Styela clava: one gene and its partner. The protein of the gene in region 2 purifies or fractionates together with the protein of the main gene of each other region. This does not show direct contact. Links are inferred from orthologs where the notes say so. Each region holds a gene or a part of one and is shown on either strand. Other genes may lie near its edges.

Region 1 (6,527 bases), on a different chromosome or scaffold from region 2:
TTGGCCCGCGACTAAATAGGTTTGGGAACCCCTGGTTTATGGGAATCAAGTCTAAAAGATCCGTATGGAATACTCTTGAAAATGACCACGCCTACCCTCTTAGATAAGGCATATATATTAGTCAGAAAATTTCAGAAACAAGCTTAGTTCAGTACAAAGCGTATATATAATATAATGGTTCAGTATGGACTAGTGACTGATAGCTCTGGCCAATGAGCATGCTTATTGGTCTGGCTAACCATGTTGAAATCATAAGGCGGAGATCGCGGGTGTAAGGAAACGAAAGTCAACCATCTCATTCGGGATGTATTATCGACTTTAATCTCCTTTTTGTGATAAAAACACATTTAATAAACATAATTGATTATACATACGACACGATTGCACTTTGTAGCAGGAATAATTTATGACTATGCATAATAATGTATCGCGGAACGGAAAAATTTGATATGATTGGAACAGAAAAACAATAACATATATTTTCATATTATTGGACTGTAAAGTAGAATCACAACTTCAATCAAGTTTTTTTTTCTCTTTTTCGTCCAATGTGTCGGGTTCATCATATTAATATATCTGCGGTTATTCGACGCCTCAAAAAAAAATTACATTATGACAAAGTCGTCGTTAACGTAACCGTCACCAAGCTCAAATCCTGCTGTGCCTCACCTGGAAAAGATCTCAGCGGCCCATGCTTTTGTTGCACGTCTTTTGACCACCTGCAGGGTCGCAATAGGTTCATATCTTACTGAATGTCATGGCGAAGAAGTATGAATCACCTTATATTTGGATGGTCATGTTAATCACTAAAAGTATGTAGAACAGAAAAAGCACGCGTCTCCGGTTTGGCAGAAAAACAACAGCATTTCTCGCGAACCGACAAAAAAACTTCGCAGACCGGCCGTTAGAAATCACTGCTTTAGAATTTGTACGAAATGGGAATACGCTTGACATCGCACCTCTGGTCGCTCTGCCTGGGTTCGAAACTGATACTGATTATTTATCCCCAGGAAAAGGCGAACTAGGACCACCTGTCAGTCCGACGACTCCAATCACCCCTCGCCTTGGAAACGCTGTTGATTTTGCGTATGGTGATGTGTTGCTGCCTCGCTGGTGAATTAGTTCTTTCCAAAGTCAGAAAGTGTATTTTTTGTTGAGATATTCGCTATCATGTGGGATTAAAAGCACCACAGTTAGAAGATGAGCCATTCTATCCAAACTTCTCGCAAAGGCTCTAGTATTTACGAAAATATGACCAGCAGATCTTCTAGCGGCTTCGGCGAGGATAATTTTAGTTTACGACCTGATACGGCACCTGGTAACCCGAGAGATCAGATTTTACCGATTTCTCCTTTAGCCATAAATGAGAGGTCGAAATCGGCGCCGAGAAATATGCGAATGACAACCAGATATGGTTCAGAGGGTCATGTTAAATTGTCATCTCGTGAAATTCTCGAAAGTGGAAGCCCTGTTAACCGGCAAGAACGGCCAAAAACGGTTGAACCGGAAGTCCAGGAGACGTTACAAAAAGAACAACCCTGGTACATGGCTATGCTAAGAGAAAAAGAAGAACGCCTTCTACAAATGGGCGATGAGATTAACCGCTTGAGTGCTTTCGAAATTGATTCTAAACAAAAAGATAACGAAATATTTGACCTTAGAAGACAGTTGGCACAAAATGTTGTCATAAAAACGACTCAAGAAACGGAATTAGAGGCAATTGTGGCGGATCTGCGTAAGAGAACGCAAATTTTGACGGACGAAATTGTTCGTCTTGGACCATTTGAAGAAGAATGCAAAAAGAATGATAAGATTATTTCTCAATTCCAAGAAAAAATTGAATTCTTAGAAAGAGAATCGCAGCAGAAATCTCGCTCAAGTACGCCATCTAGTGGAGCAAAAAAGCCTTTGATTTATGTTGACGAAACAAGCACAACAATTTCTGAACCAGAGGGTTCTTTCCAAAAAAATCCACAAGAATATGACGAAAAAGTCGAAAGTGTTCGCGAGTCGTTACGAAGCGCTAATGCTGATGCAGACGCTTTACGAGAACAATTCGACAAGATGGCTCCCGAGAAATTAACCCCTGAAGACGAGGTCATGGCTATGAGAGAAGAGCTTGTTAAAAGAGAGCAAATAATTTCTGAGTTGCAAGATCGTCTTGAAACGTCGCAAAAAGAATTGGTTATGAATGACGGCTTCATAAACGCTTTACAGCGTGATTTAGAAAGCACTGAAAACAAAGTAATGAAATTGACATCCCAAGTTGAGAAAGCCGAATTTCAGATGAACGAAGCTTTAGCAGAGGCTAGGACAATGTCGAAAAAGTTCTCTGACTTGCGGGAAAGAAGAAAACACAGCGATATGAATGCTGAAACTGAACATGAGTTGACAATCCTGAAGAACGCTTTTAATGAGATTCAACAAAAAGCTGACAAATTGAAGGAAAAGTCTGACAAACAGAGCAAAGAAATTAGGGAGAGTCACAAAAAAATTAAAAAAGGTGGCGAGCTAGATAAAAAACAGTCGGAGGAGATCAAACACCTATGTCGTGATTTGGAAGATATGCGACGTCTGGAGCAATTATCTCGAGTTTCCGCTGAGCAAATGTCGACAAGATTCGAACGTCTTCGCTCTCGAATTATTCAAGCTGTATTTATCACACCTGGAGCGGCTCATCCAAGCACAGCGATTAGCGACATTGTAGTTTTTAACGCTGTGAAAAAGATAATCGAGGATAGAAGTGAATTTCATAAGTTATTAGAAGAAACGAACGCAGATTTTCCACCGTTATTAGTCGAGCTCGACGCAACTTTGGAAGAAGAAAAAATCGAAGAAAGTAGCGCTACTACCGCAACGAGTCAGCAAGAACGAAAATCTGGGAAAGGAGGAAGAAAATCTCCGAAGCACAGATAGTTATTTTTTGCACAATTTTAATTTTTTTATATCACATATTATACAGGGTATTCATAAAGTTCTAAATTTTTTCTCAAATTGTAAGGTAATTTATCTATACCATAAATATTTAATGGCCATTATGTATTAATTAATAAATGAACAAGCATTGATTCGGATAAAACAAACCTGGTTAAGGTATATTGAGAACTGACTTCATAACAAAATTTAGAAATTGTGTGAATAGAAATTTATTGATACTATATTATAGTTTGTTTTCCTCTACAGGTGTATTGAATGATGTAAGAAATTTAAATAAACGCTGATTAAAATAAACGAATCTTGAGACCAGACTTTATAATTGTAATGATGTAGACTTTATGAACGCCCTGTATTTATATCATATTAGATATAGGTTTTACACCTCATTTCATGTACAAATTTATGGTAGTAGCAGAATCCTAATTGTAATAAAAGACTGTTGAATCACTGTATTTATTACCCCAAATCAATTTTATTTTTTTCTAATTTAGCCACTGTAGTAGTTCCAATGTCCACTGTTGAATAATTTTATGATAATTAATTTAATAATGATTTTTATGGTAGAGTTTAGTAACATATTTTTTTGATTGAAGCAAGGGTGCCTTTTAACAACATTGTGAAAATATTGGCGTTTCACTTTTTATCATATATCCAAGTCCATGGAACCAGAATCAGATAATCAACTTTCTAGCTATGGCTATTCCCATAGAATGTTCTGTCTATATATCTTTCATTGCTGTTTGGGTTCAAGTAACAAAGCATTGCAGTGAGAATTTTATCCTACATAGGATTATTGTGTCAATAATATATGCTATCTTGTGTTTAACTAATGAAGCATGACAGTCAGAATTTTATTACTTTGTTTCAATTAGGCATATTCTGTCAAAGTCATGCTCCATTGCTTTTAAGGTTCAAGTAATGAGGCATGGCAGTCAGAACTTTATCCATCTGTTCTAAATAGGATGATTTTGTCAATATATGCTCAATTGCTCCTTGGGTTTAACCAATGAGGCGGGCAGTCAGAATTTTACCCACCCGGTTCAAATGGGACTATTCTGTTAAAGTTATACTTCATTGATTTTGTGGTTTATTTCAATGCATTTTGCCATCAAGTTCAAAAATAATAACATCAAAGGTAGTTAGTATGCATTGCTGGTTGGACACATTTCACTGTGATTTGTAGCCGTCCACTGTTAGTTGGTATATTACTTGAAAACTTGAATGTATTTTGTGAAAATTGAATTTTCTTGTCACTAAATTGTTCCTAATGAGTTATTATAAGCTGGGGGAGTGTTACATATAAAATTTGATATTTTGGGTGAAAATTTTGAGTTTTTATACTTATGTTACTACCCATATATCCTCGAATATAAGCCGGCCCCCTAAAGTGGTTGAATCATCAAAATTCACATTAAAACTGGCCCTTTAAATCATAACACGCTGCACGCACCTATCACAGCAAAGGTTGCTTTAGTGCGATCAGAGCTATGGTCGTATAAGCCGCCCCGTAAGTTTGGCAACTTTTTTTTTAGTTATCTTGGCTTATATGGGAGGATATATGGTAATTAAATTTTTTAGGCATTCTGGTTAGCGAAAAGTTTTCGTAAAATGCACCATTTTTTTTAATTGTGATTCTACTTATAGCTGCACTTTTTTTTGAGAATCTGCGCGATGTACATATAATTTGATTTCAAATAGTTTGTATAATGAAATGTATTTTTTTAGAATTTTAGATTTATCTTGTTACAGAAATAAGATAGCCAACGCTGTGATTCTGATTGTGGAACTGTTGCTATTTATCCCTATGTGAGGCTGACGACTGGAAAAGACTGTATACTTCATTATTGTAGTACACAAATTGGGATATTATCATACTTCTGTTTTATTGTTTGCGAATTTCTACCGGGTGACTCCATATTTTGAATATTGGTGGTCTCTACATCGGAACAATTTTTGAAATTTTTGATGAGAAAAATGACGAACCAATGGGAGGACCTAAGGAAACAAGCTCGCCGACTTGAGAACGAACTCGACCTAAAACTAGTCTCGTTTAGCAAACTCGGGACAAGTTATAGCAGCCACGCAAGCGACCATACACCTCTTCTTGGGAATTCGAGCAGCGAACGAATGTTTGAAACCATGGCGATGGAAATCGAACAACTTCTGGCGAAATTAACGGGCGTAAACGACATGATGGCCAATCACAGCGAAGCAATTAACGGTCCAAGTTCTGCAATGCATACTCTACAACGACACAGGGACATACTTCAAGACTACACTCATGAATTTGCCAAGACCAAGAGCAATATCGTCGCTCATCGTGAAAGGGAGGATTTAATCGGATCAGTTCGACGTGATATCGACGCTTACAAAAGCGGAAGCGGAGCTAATAGTCGACGTACCGATCTTTATCTAAAAGAAAACGAACATTTAAGGAACTCTGATCGCCTTGCCAGCGAGGCAATCGACATCGCCATGGCAACGAAAGAAAATTTGGGAACGCAGCGAAAAATTTTCAAAAATATGACAACGAGATTGAATAACCTTGCTAATCGGTTCCCCGCTCTTAATAGTCTCGTTCGACGAATTAAAATGAGGAAGCAAAGGGACTCGCTTATCATGGCTTCCGTTGTGTCCATCTGTATTATACTCATTCTGATATACTGGTTACATTAGCTGATTTAAGAAGAGCATTCTAAATATTATTTCTGACTTTTACAACTAGGGATGTGGGCTCAGGAGTTTGCAGATCTGCAGACAAATAAGAAGCACTTGCATGTGCTAAATCAGGGGTGTGCTACCTGCGGCCTTCAATAAAACATTGTGCGCCCCGCGAATTTTTTTTTTGCCTGCAACTATGAGATAGCCATTATTGAATAAAAGTTGGGTCCCTGCGGTTCCACCCAGTTATTTATATCTGGCTTATTATGGTGTGATTTTTGGGTCTTGGGAATATGATTGATACTGCTTGATAACCAGTGTTAGTTTTCTTTCACCCTAAAATTCTGTTTTATTTTCTATGTTATGGCCATACAGAGTATTTTCAATATGGTGAATAATAAACTGTATGTCATTGCATATAAGATGATCTCGCATATAATTCGACAGTCCTAAAATGGTGAATTTATAAATATTAGCATATAAGGCGCCCCTACAAATCATAACACGTTGTACGCACCTATCAAAGCAAATGGGGACAGAAAGGAATTAGTGAAATTTTGTGTTAAGTCGTATAAGTTAAATTTTATATAGTGCGATCAGAGTTATGCATGTATATGCTGCATTTTTAGTTTTCAACTTGGCTTATATGCGAGGATATATGGGTAATGATTGTCATGCCAAGCACGCTCTATTTTATGAGCTACATTCAGTCATTCTGGTAAGACTCCCGTTATGAATTTTCTTTAAATGTACATTGAAGTCGAAGAAATATTGATATTTTTTTTTCAAATTTTAGAATAGATGATTATTAATGATTTTTGGTCGTTCTTGGTTTGATCTTGCAAATCTAGGCAGTGTAATCAGATTCACGCACTTTCTGTCTCACAGACTTTTCCGACCTTAAAGCAGCATAAGATGGTTTGAGTTAT
Region 2 (7,832 bases):
ACCGGTGTTCTATTCTGGATATTATTACTGTATATGGTGCGGTACTGTACAGGATTTGACATATTCATATATTAGTCTTCTATAATACGGTACTGTAATAGAATAGGCATGCCTTTTTGCTCCAGGCTGCCAGGTAATAAATCGTGGTTGGCCTGAGTCGGTGGGTCCTTAGACAGTCTGACAAGTCACTGTACAGCTGTAAGAAGTGTGGTCTACTTGCTGACTTGTTAGCTTCCTCGCTTTTGTACATAATAACCCCGTAACATGAGAATCTTTTACCAAAGACTCTAGTCATCTAAATCAGTAAATGAAATGACTCAGACCCCTAGACTCGCATTCAACTAACCACCAACCACTCTGCCAGTGAGACCGAGCTCAGTGAATCGTCTCAGGCTCTGATGGCCCATGACCTAATGAGTCTGCACTTTTAACTAATAAAAACATTCCCTCATTTGCAGACTTGTAGTAGACTGCAGTGAAATAAATGCCGTATTTGTTAGTGAGCACACTGGTTCGATTAGTAAGTATCATCTATTAACCATAATGTTTTTGATCACTTATCGTATTGTATAAAATCTCCTGATACTGAAATATGAAATAAAATCCAGGAAAAAAACAGTTTCAGTAGAAATTTTGAAAATATGATTTCTTTGCCCAATTTAGAATATGATTTAGTCTTAATCAAAATGAAAAATAAATCCCACAATATTAGTTTAAGACGCATATAAACAACATTAACTTTTCCACAAAAATTTGAAAAAATAAAAATTTATTTCAATTATGAACTAGGCATTAGAAGCCAGTCAGGCATCTAAGGGTATAGTGGGTTCAATTGCACTTAAACAATATTTTGTGTTTGGGAAATACAGTTTTATGGTCTGTTGTGTGATTATGCAAACCTAAATCTGAGAAATTGTTGTTGAATTCTTTTATTTCTTGTCTTGATTAATGACATGGTTAAGCAAAATATATTTAATTTCTTGTGTTAGATATGAATAATAGTTAACTTTAGTCTAATTAAAATCAATAAATCTCACTTCTTGGTTGTTTTAGGAAATTGGACCGACAATTGTTGGAGATGAACAGTCTGATCCAGACTTGATGACGAAGATAGGTGCTGTGTTGGGGCAACAGAAAGGATGTCCTTTGTGAGCTAATCTTGTTATGGATGTTTTCGATTTGTACCTTTTTTATTCAATGAGAAACTGTCTGTCAGAATGGATAGTTATTTGTTCCATGCTAGTTTTATATTCTTTGAATTTTTCTGATACTGCAGTAAAAAAAATTTTGATATGTATGTCACAGTGATGTTGTTTGCTAACTTGCAAAATTGGATCTGAGTTAATACAGAAGATAATGCTACTGGTAATCCCACTGGATAGAATAGTAGAATAATATACTATTTTGTGCCATCGCATAGGTTACCAACAACTTGCATTCTGTTTAGTTGCAACCTGTTTGTCTTGATTCTTTATGCCATGTTACATGCAACATACCACATTTTTTAATGTTTTATTGTTTTGAATTGTTTTAGCAAAGAATACACAGTCTCTGACCCTCCTCGAATTGTATTGAACAAATTGGAAAAGTTGGGATATTCTGTAATAAATACAAGCGGCATTGGACAAACTATTGTTTGGACATTACATAAGCCAATTTCTGAGTGATAAATTTCAATGTTTGGGGGATAGATAACTTGATCATGCTGTCTAATTTGATTAGCTGTGAGTGGCTGTATTTCGGTTTACTTACAATCAATTAATTTATGCCATCAACTGTTACATATGTATGCATTTCTCTCGGAGATATCAGTAAATGGCTTTGATTAAAATTGTTTTATTTGTCAAAAATATTTGGATTGTGTGGTACTGATTCAATCATTCATTTTTAAATGTGCAATTGTAATATATGATGTTATGTGCAACAAAAAAAGTGGTAAAATGAGTAGTCTTATGAATTGGTGTGAAAGGTGTGGCTTTTGCATATATATATGGGCTTGTGTCATGGTGGTGTGAACAGAATTTCGTAAATGAACAATACGTGATTGTGAAGGTATGTACGATCGAAAACAGTGGTCATGGCGCAGAAAGCTTTGTCTGAAGTACCGATTACAAGTGGATAAACTAATTATTCACTGAGGTATTTCGTATATATATAAACCCATTGATGGCGGTCGGAAATGAGAATAATAATCAAAAACTAAGATTTTGTGGTGAGAAATGAATTACAATACAATTTTATCTCGATTTTTCGTCTGCAACACCGAACACTAATGGAAAAATAAAAACACAGACAACGGGGCAAATGGGAAAAACCTCCAGAAAGGTTTATAGCGAACGCTGTAACCGGCCGGCATTTATGCCCATTCACCCACACAAGTGGAAAAAACATCGCGACAATCATACTGAAAAAAATAAATGCCATAAATAAACTCGAGAAAATAAAATTCATGGGCGAAGCTTACTTGTGAAGGTATAAATAATTTTGATGAGCGAAAGTGGTGAAGAGTTAAAAAACAAGTAGAAGTTATGTGACGGGACCTGTGCCAAAATACGCGAATCATAACATTAAGTGATTAGCTGCTATTTTTCTTGGCAATCCTTGTAATCCTGAGCATTTGCCAATGATGGTCGGTCGTAAAATTAACTTTGCGAGTAGCGAATTCATTCAGTTATCATTATAAAATTATACAAGGTGGTAATTTATATTGGGTACATTTAATGGACTAACCCTAAAATTAGCGCGAGGCATAGGTTAGTTGCGCTAACTGTTGACACGAACTGATTACCAGACGAGAGATGCGATGAAATCGATATTGGCACTGACGAATTACCAGGTTTAGATCTGACGCGATTTTGGTCCTAGTGGCCACAAAGAACTTTACAGTTAACCAAATGACGTCCAACCAACAAATATATACGAGGAGCTACATATAAACCAAGAACCAGCAAAAACTTATGCTAGCCTTTTACATATTTTTTTACATTATTGTGAGAACTTATGGTCAATACACAAAGCACTAGAAGTTCATCACCTTTGCATCATTGCTGACTTTGCTTGTTAAGGTATCGATGCTCGCATCCCGTAGTCACTGCCTCCGTTTCTCTGTCTTACATTTAATAAACATGTTGGCACTGGATATGATAATTTCATTTTAAGTGATTGTCCGATGTCCCCAAAATGTTTGTTGTGCAGATGCGATTCAAAAATTAATATATTCAATGTTTCAATGCAAATCTCTCGTCAGCAATACACATGCGTGGGTTCGCAGGTAAGTATGAGTTTATTTCGACTCCATAATCAGCATAATAGACGATAATGTAATTGATAAAAACTTATTATTATTAACTTATTATAGAATTGGGAAAGCAAACAAAACCTCTAGTAAGGTTTGGAACGTACAAATTTTAAAGAAAAGGTATTGATAAAGGAAATAGCACGTGTTCGCTCACCCAAAAGTATTAGTGAATTACTCAGTAAAAAAGAAAAATATACAAACGAAATAACTAAATGAAAATCATGAAAATTTTTTTTTTGCCAAACTATAATAATAATTTTATGAGGCTTGCCAACATGAGTTATACATTGTGGATAAAAAAAAATTCCTCAAAAGATATCGTCAAGCTGATTATATTTGGAGTCACCTAATGCCAAATTGCCCAATCAGAATTTTAAGTTGGATGCATGAAGGGATGGGCTAAGCCTCACCAAATTGAAAGCCAAACTAACGTCCAAATCACTTTAAATACTATTAATCAATAAAAGTACCGGTAATTATAATTAAAATTAATTTTAAGGCAGTATGATATCGAGATAGGAAAATCGGTTACAGCAATATATAGGTTATTAAAGGTTCAAGTGAGATTTTTTAAGGTCATGGATTATAGGCAAGGAAATTTAATTGAGGTTGTTGATCACTGGGGTCAGTTCAAGTTCATCAAAGATGATCCATCAGTCTGCAATATTGTTAATGTATAGTGGTATACACATTTTATGTTGAATTAGCGACCTTTTAAATCGATCATCACGACGTTATGAAAAACGAAAAATATATCTGCGAGTACAATATTCAATGATTGCAAATAAGGAAACAATAGAAAACTACCCTACATTTTTGAGAAGATATTGTTGATTTGAATAAATATTGACCAATATTAATAATTTATCATTAGACTACTAGTTGAAAGACCTGAGAAAGAGGAGATTGTAGTTGGGACACAAGAGATTGTTCACAAGCCATGCAAAAACATTTGATGTCGATCAAACCACACTAAGCATTCACATGTTGGCCATTATTTTAACTATACAGCAAATCAGAAAATCTCTGTGTACATACAGGGCACAGTATATAACACTACAGGAAATTAAAAGGTAGGGAGAATCCAAATATAGCTCGACTGATCACCTAATTACAATAATGGATAATAGCATAGGTATTATTAACCACCGAGTCAAAGATAACAGGCAAAATCATACCCAATGAGGACTGGGAAACAGAAGAGAAGCCGCGGTTCGCAATATGAGCAAGCCGTCTTATCGACTTTTCCCCTTCACGGAATAAATAGCCTATGTAAATCCTATCAACCACCAACTAGGCATTTCTATTTTTATCAGGCAGTTGTTCCGGGAGTTAATCCATGTTCGAACAATTGAATATATATATACCTATTATATATAATAGGTAGTAAGCAATTTACAGTATTTACCTTTTCATTCATTTTAATGAATTGGGTTTTCTGTCATCTTCCTTCTTGTTTCCGTGCACTACAGACAGTGACGTTAATCAACTTGCGTGGAAATCGGCCATGCATGAAAATGAGAAAAGACACCTCGTCAGCTTTTATACAATAGGTTGCTTCTGTGTTACGGTACAGAACTTTTTATCGTAGGATTTACGCAAATTTGTCTTCGAGTCTTAGAAACTGTATCCCATGTTTTATTGGAAGTCATATGACTAGATGATTACCAGGCGAAGAATCGGATCTCATGAAAAAAGCTCACCTTCAGGTTAGTGCTGTAGTGAAATCTGTAAATGGCTTCAGTTAATTCACTACCGGTACCGGTACCGTACCGTACCGTACCGTAATTCGCGTTTATTTGAAACTACCTTCAGACCTTTCTGAACTATACCTTTATACACTCTGAATGCCACGGTCTGGGTACCACTCAGATAAATAATACCGTATTCTTTCAAATATCTGCTTGAACTTCTGTGATTACTGGATTACCGGTACTGGATTAAATTATATTTCTGTATTTATTAATTTAATTAAAAATTAATAAAGCTGAAATGTTTAATTGATTAGCATATGGCAGTTAAGATAATCAAAAAGTTTTATCGAAGCTCATTCTTCAGTTTTTTCATTAATAGCGCCAAACACTTTGTCACTTATTGACAAAGCTGCTGAAAACTAGAGCATTTGTTGTTTGGTTATTCTGTTATTACAGTATTATCAGAGCTGTATTAAACTTGTTGCTGATTTTTTATTGTGGAACTGCTATGTAGCTAAGAAACAAGACACTATTCTACTGCCTGATTGCAATACAGAGAGATGGATTGACAAATCTGTGTAAAGAACACTATTTCGAAAAGACTATACACTTGTATTGCAGTATTGATGTGTTCTTAATTTTTGTACCAGCTGTTTGTATGATGATATCCCAACTGACTGAAACTTTGATCATGGCGGTTGCATTGACCATATGACCAATATAGAAGAACTTTATTTGACGAATCAGCTTGCGTTGCAAATTCTGACATATCGAAAAGTACTGTACAGTTGTACAGAAATCCATTATATTCACAGGTGGTTGGTCTTTTTCACAACTTCCTTCACTCTCATCAACGAGAATACTTTTCAACGGAACTGAAAGTAACGAGGTTTCTTCTGGTCAATTGGAAGAAGACAATTCAAGCCAATCAGCAGATTTAATGACAAGCATGAATTCCGCGTGCCGCGACCGGACTGTAGAATTTCAATCTGTTGTGAAGTCATTAAAATCGAGACAGGTATTCAAGAACCAAATATTAAATTTACTTGAAAATCATGAGGAATTTCCATATCAAATTAATATTTGCCTAATATAGAATGTCATGTGATGGTATAAGACATTGACTCGTTATTTCGCAGTTTGGCAGAGGATCATATTGCCATACATTCAAATTTTGTTAAATGTGACAGAGCTGTGTTGTACCTTGACCCATATTTGCTCTATGTGTACATATTTTTATGAATTCTATGTACGTTATTGTATTTTCAGTCTAATGGTGGGGTTCCACATAAAGCACAAAACAATGCTCTGAAAAATAGAAGTGAATTTTCTACATTTGCCAAGTAAGCATAATATGTACTTAACGCACTTTTCAATATATATGATTTTTGATTTCGAAATACTCTGAATATTTCTAGTATACTGCAATAAAGTAATTTCAGACAACTTTTTCCTTGGAGAAAAAATTAAATTACATTATATCAGAAGTGTCAATGCTGTTCTTTACTTTGCAGCATTCAATGCTGTTCTATACTTTGCAGTACTTCACTAACTATTTGTTTTTCAGTTTAATGCTTCTCTATTTGTTTTATTGTGGAATTAGATTTGTTGAATTGTTATATATATATAATATATACCCCATTTAAGTTATAAATTAACTGTTGATGAAAGCAATGAATATGCATAGAGCACAGTTATTTAATTGATTTAATAATTGTCGTCAAGTAAGTGGCAGAAATACATATTGCATATTTTTATTCAGGCGAATTGGCAGAGATATAAGTAAGACATATGAAAAATTAGAAAAACTAACTTTGTGTAAGTATGAAATTTATACTGATTGTGTCTGGTAAATCAAAAGTCATATTATGTTATTATGTTATGCATATCTTTTGATTTGTTTTTATTTTAGTTGACTACTTCATCATAATCACTATTGCCGAATTTTTTATTTTACTCAAATTCTTATTTTTTGAAAAATAGTAATTGGATTTTTGTTTATATGATATATTTTCATATAGTCGTTATGAGACTTGATAAAAAATATTTCTCATCGGTTACTTCTTTTTTATAGTATGTAAAAAACGTTCACTGTTCGATGATCGACCTGTTGAAATCCAGGAGTTGACATATATTATTAAACAAGACATCACTTCGTTGAAGAAACAAATTGCTCAACTGGAGCAGGTAGTTTCTGCAAGGTCTAGTGGCCATAAAGATATTCAAAAACATTCGTCATCTATTGTTCGCACATTAAGGGTGAGTTTTATGTCAATTTTATTGAAATTTTTCAACGTTATTGTTGTAGCTATATGAAACAAGATAGCTGAAATTAAATATTATTCATTTCAGTCCAAACTTGCTTCAATGTCTGATAATTTCAAATCTGTCCTTGAAGTTCGACGTGAAAATATGAAGCAACAGAAATTGCGTAAAGATCAGTTCAGTACTACTAATTTATCATCAAGTATGCCGCCATCTGCTATGCAGGGGAATCGTAAGTTGACAATTACAAAATTTGTTTTGATGGATATATATGGCACTTTTAGGTATAGAAACAGACCTACCTGTTTATTTCAACAGCACTCTATATTTCGTATTGTTATTACCATGACTGTGTTGTTTTAGGAGGTTCAGTTTTAATAATGGATGAACAAAGGAATTCTTCTGGAGATGTTTCAATATCAATGGATGGTTCATCGCCATCAACTTCACAAGATACAATGCAACTGCTTGATCAACAAGTATGTTAAAATATGAATTGATATATGTACGTTTCACATTAATTAAGCTGTTTCTTTTGGTTTTCCAATCTTTCAACCAAGAACATGTGCCTCAAG

What was found.
Region 1: the proteins of syntaxin-5-like (region 2) and Golgi SNAP receptor complex member 1-like purify together in Homo sapiens (affinity purification with western blotting; 3 studies listed by BioGRID, with this or other methods). This does not show direct contact. The link is inferred for Styela clava from reciprocal best matches to the Homo sapiens genes STX5 and GOSR1.

Annotation. Positions count from the first base shown.
Region 1 is NC_135255.1:20,539,333-20,545,859, reverse strand, and holds Golgi SNAP receptor complex member 1-like, read left to right. Parts: upstream 1-4,032; 5' UTR 4,033-4,902; coding exon 4,903-5,613; 3' UTR 5,614-6,000; downstream 6,001-6,527. Other genes in the region: coiled-coil domain-containing protein 27-like, read left to right, coding at 1,201-2,916. UniProt on the Homo sapiens protein: Involved in transport from the ER to the Golgi apparatus as well as in intra-Golgi transport. It belongs to a super-family of proteins called t-SNAREs or soluble NSF (N-ethylmaleimide-sensitive factor) attachment protein receptor.
Region 2 is NC_135253.1:7,448,617-7,456,448, reverse strand, and holds the start of syntaxin-5-like, read left to right. Parts: upstream 1-4,807; 5' UTR 4,808-4,958; coding exon 4,959-5,007; intron 5,008-5,807; coding exon 5,808-6,010; intron 6,011-6,261; coding exon 6,262-6,335; intron 6,336-6,754; coding exon 6,755-6,810; intron 6,811-7,066; coding exon 7,067-7,251; intron 7,252-7,344; coding exon 7,345-7,489; intron 7,490-7,620; coding exon 7,621-7,736; intron 7,737-7,832. Other genes in the region: GTP cyclohydrolase 1 feedback regulatory protein-like, read left to right, coding at 485-520, 1,054-1,148, 1,535-1,667. UniProt on the Homo sapiens protein: Mediates endoplasmic reticulum to Golgi transport.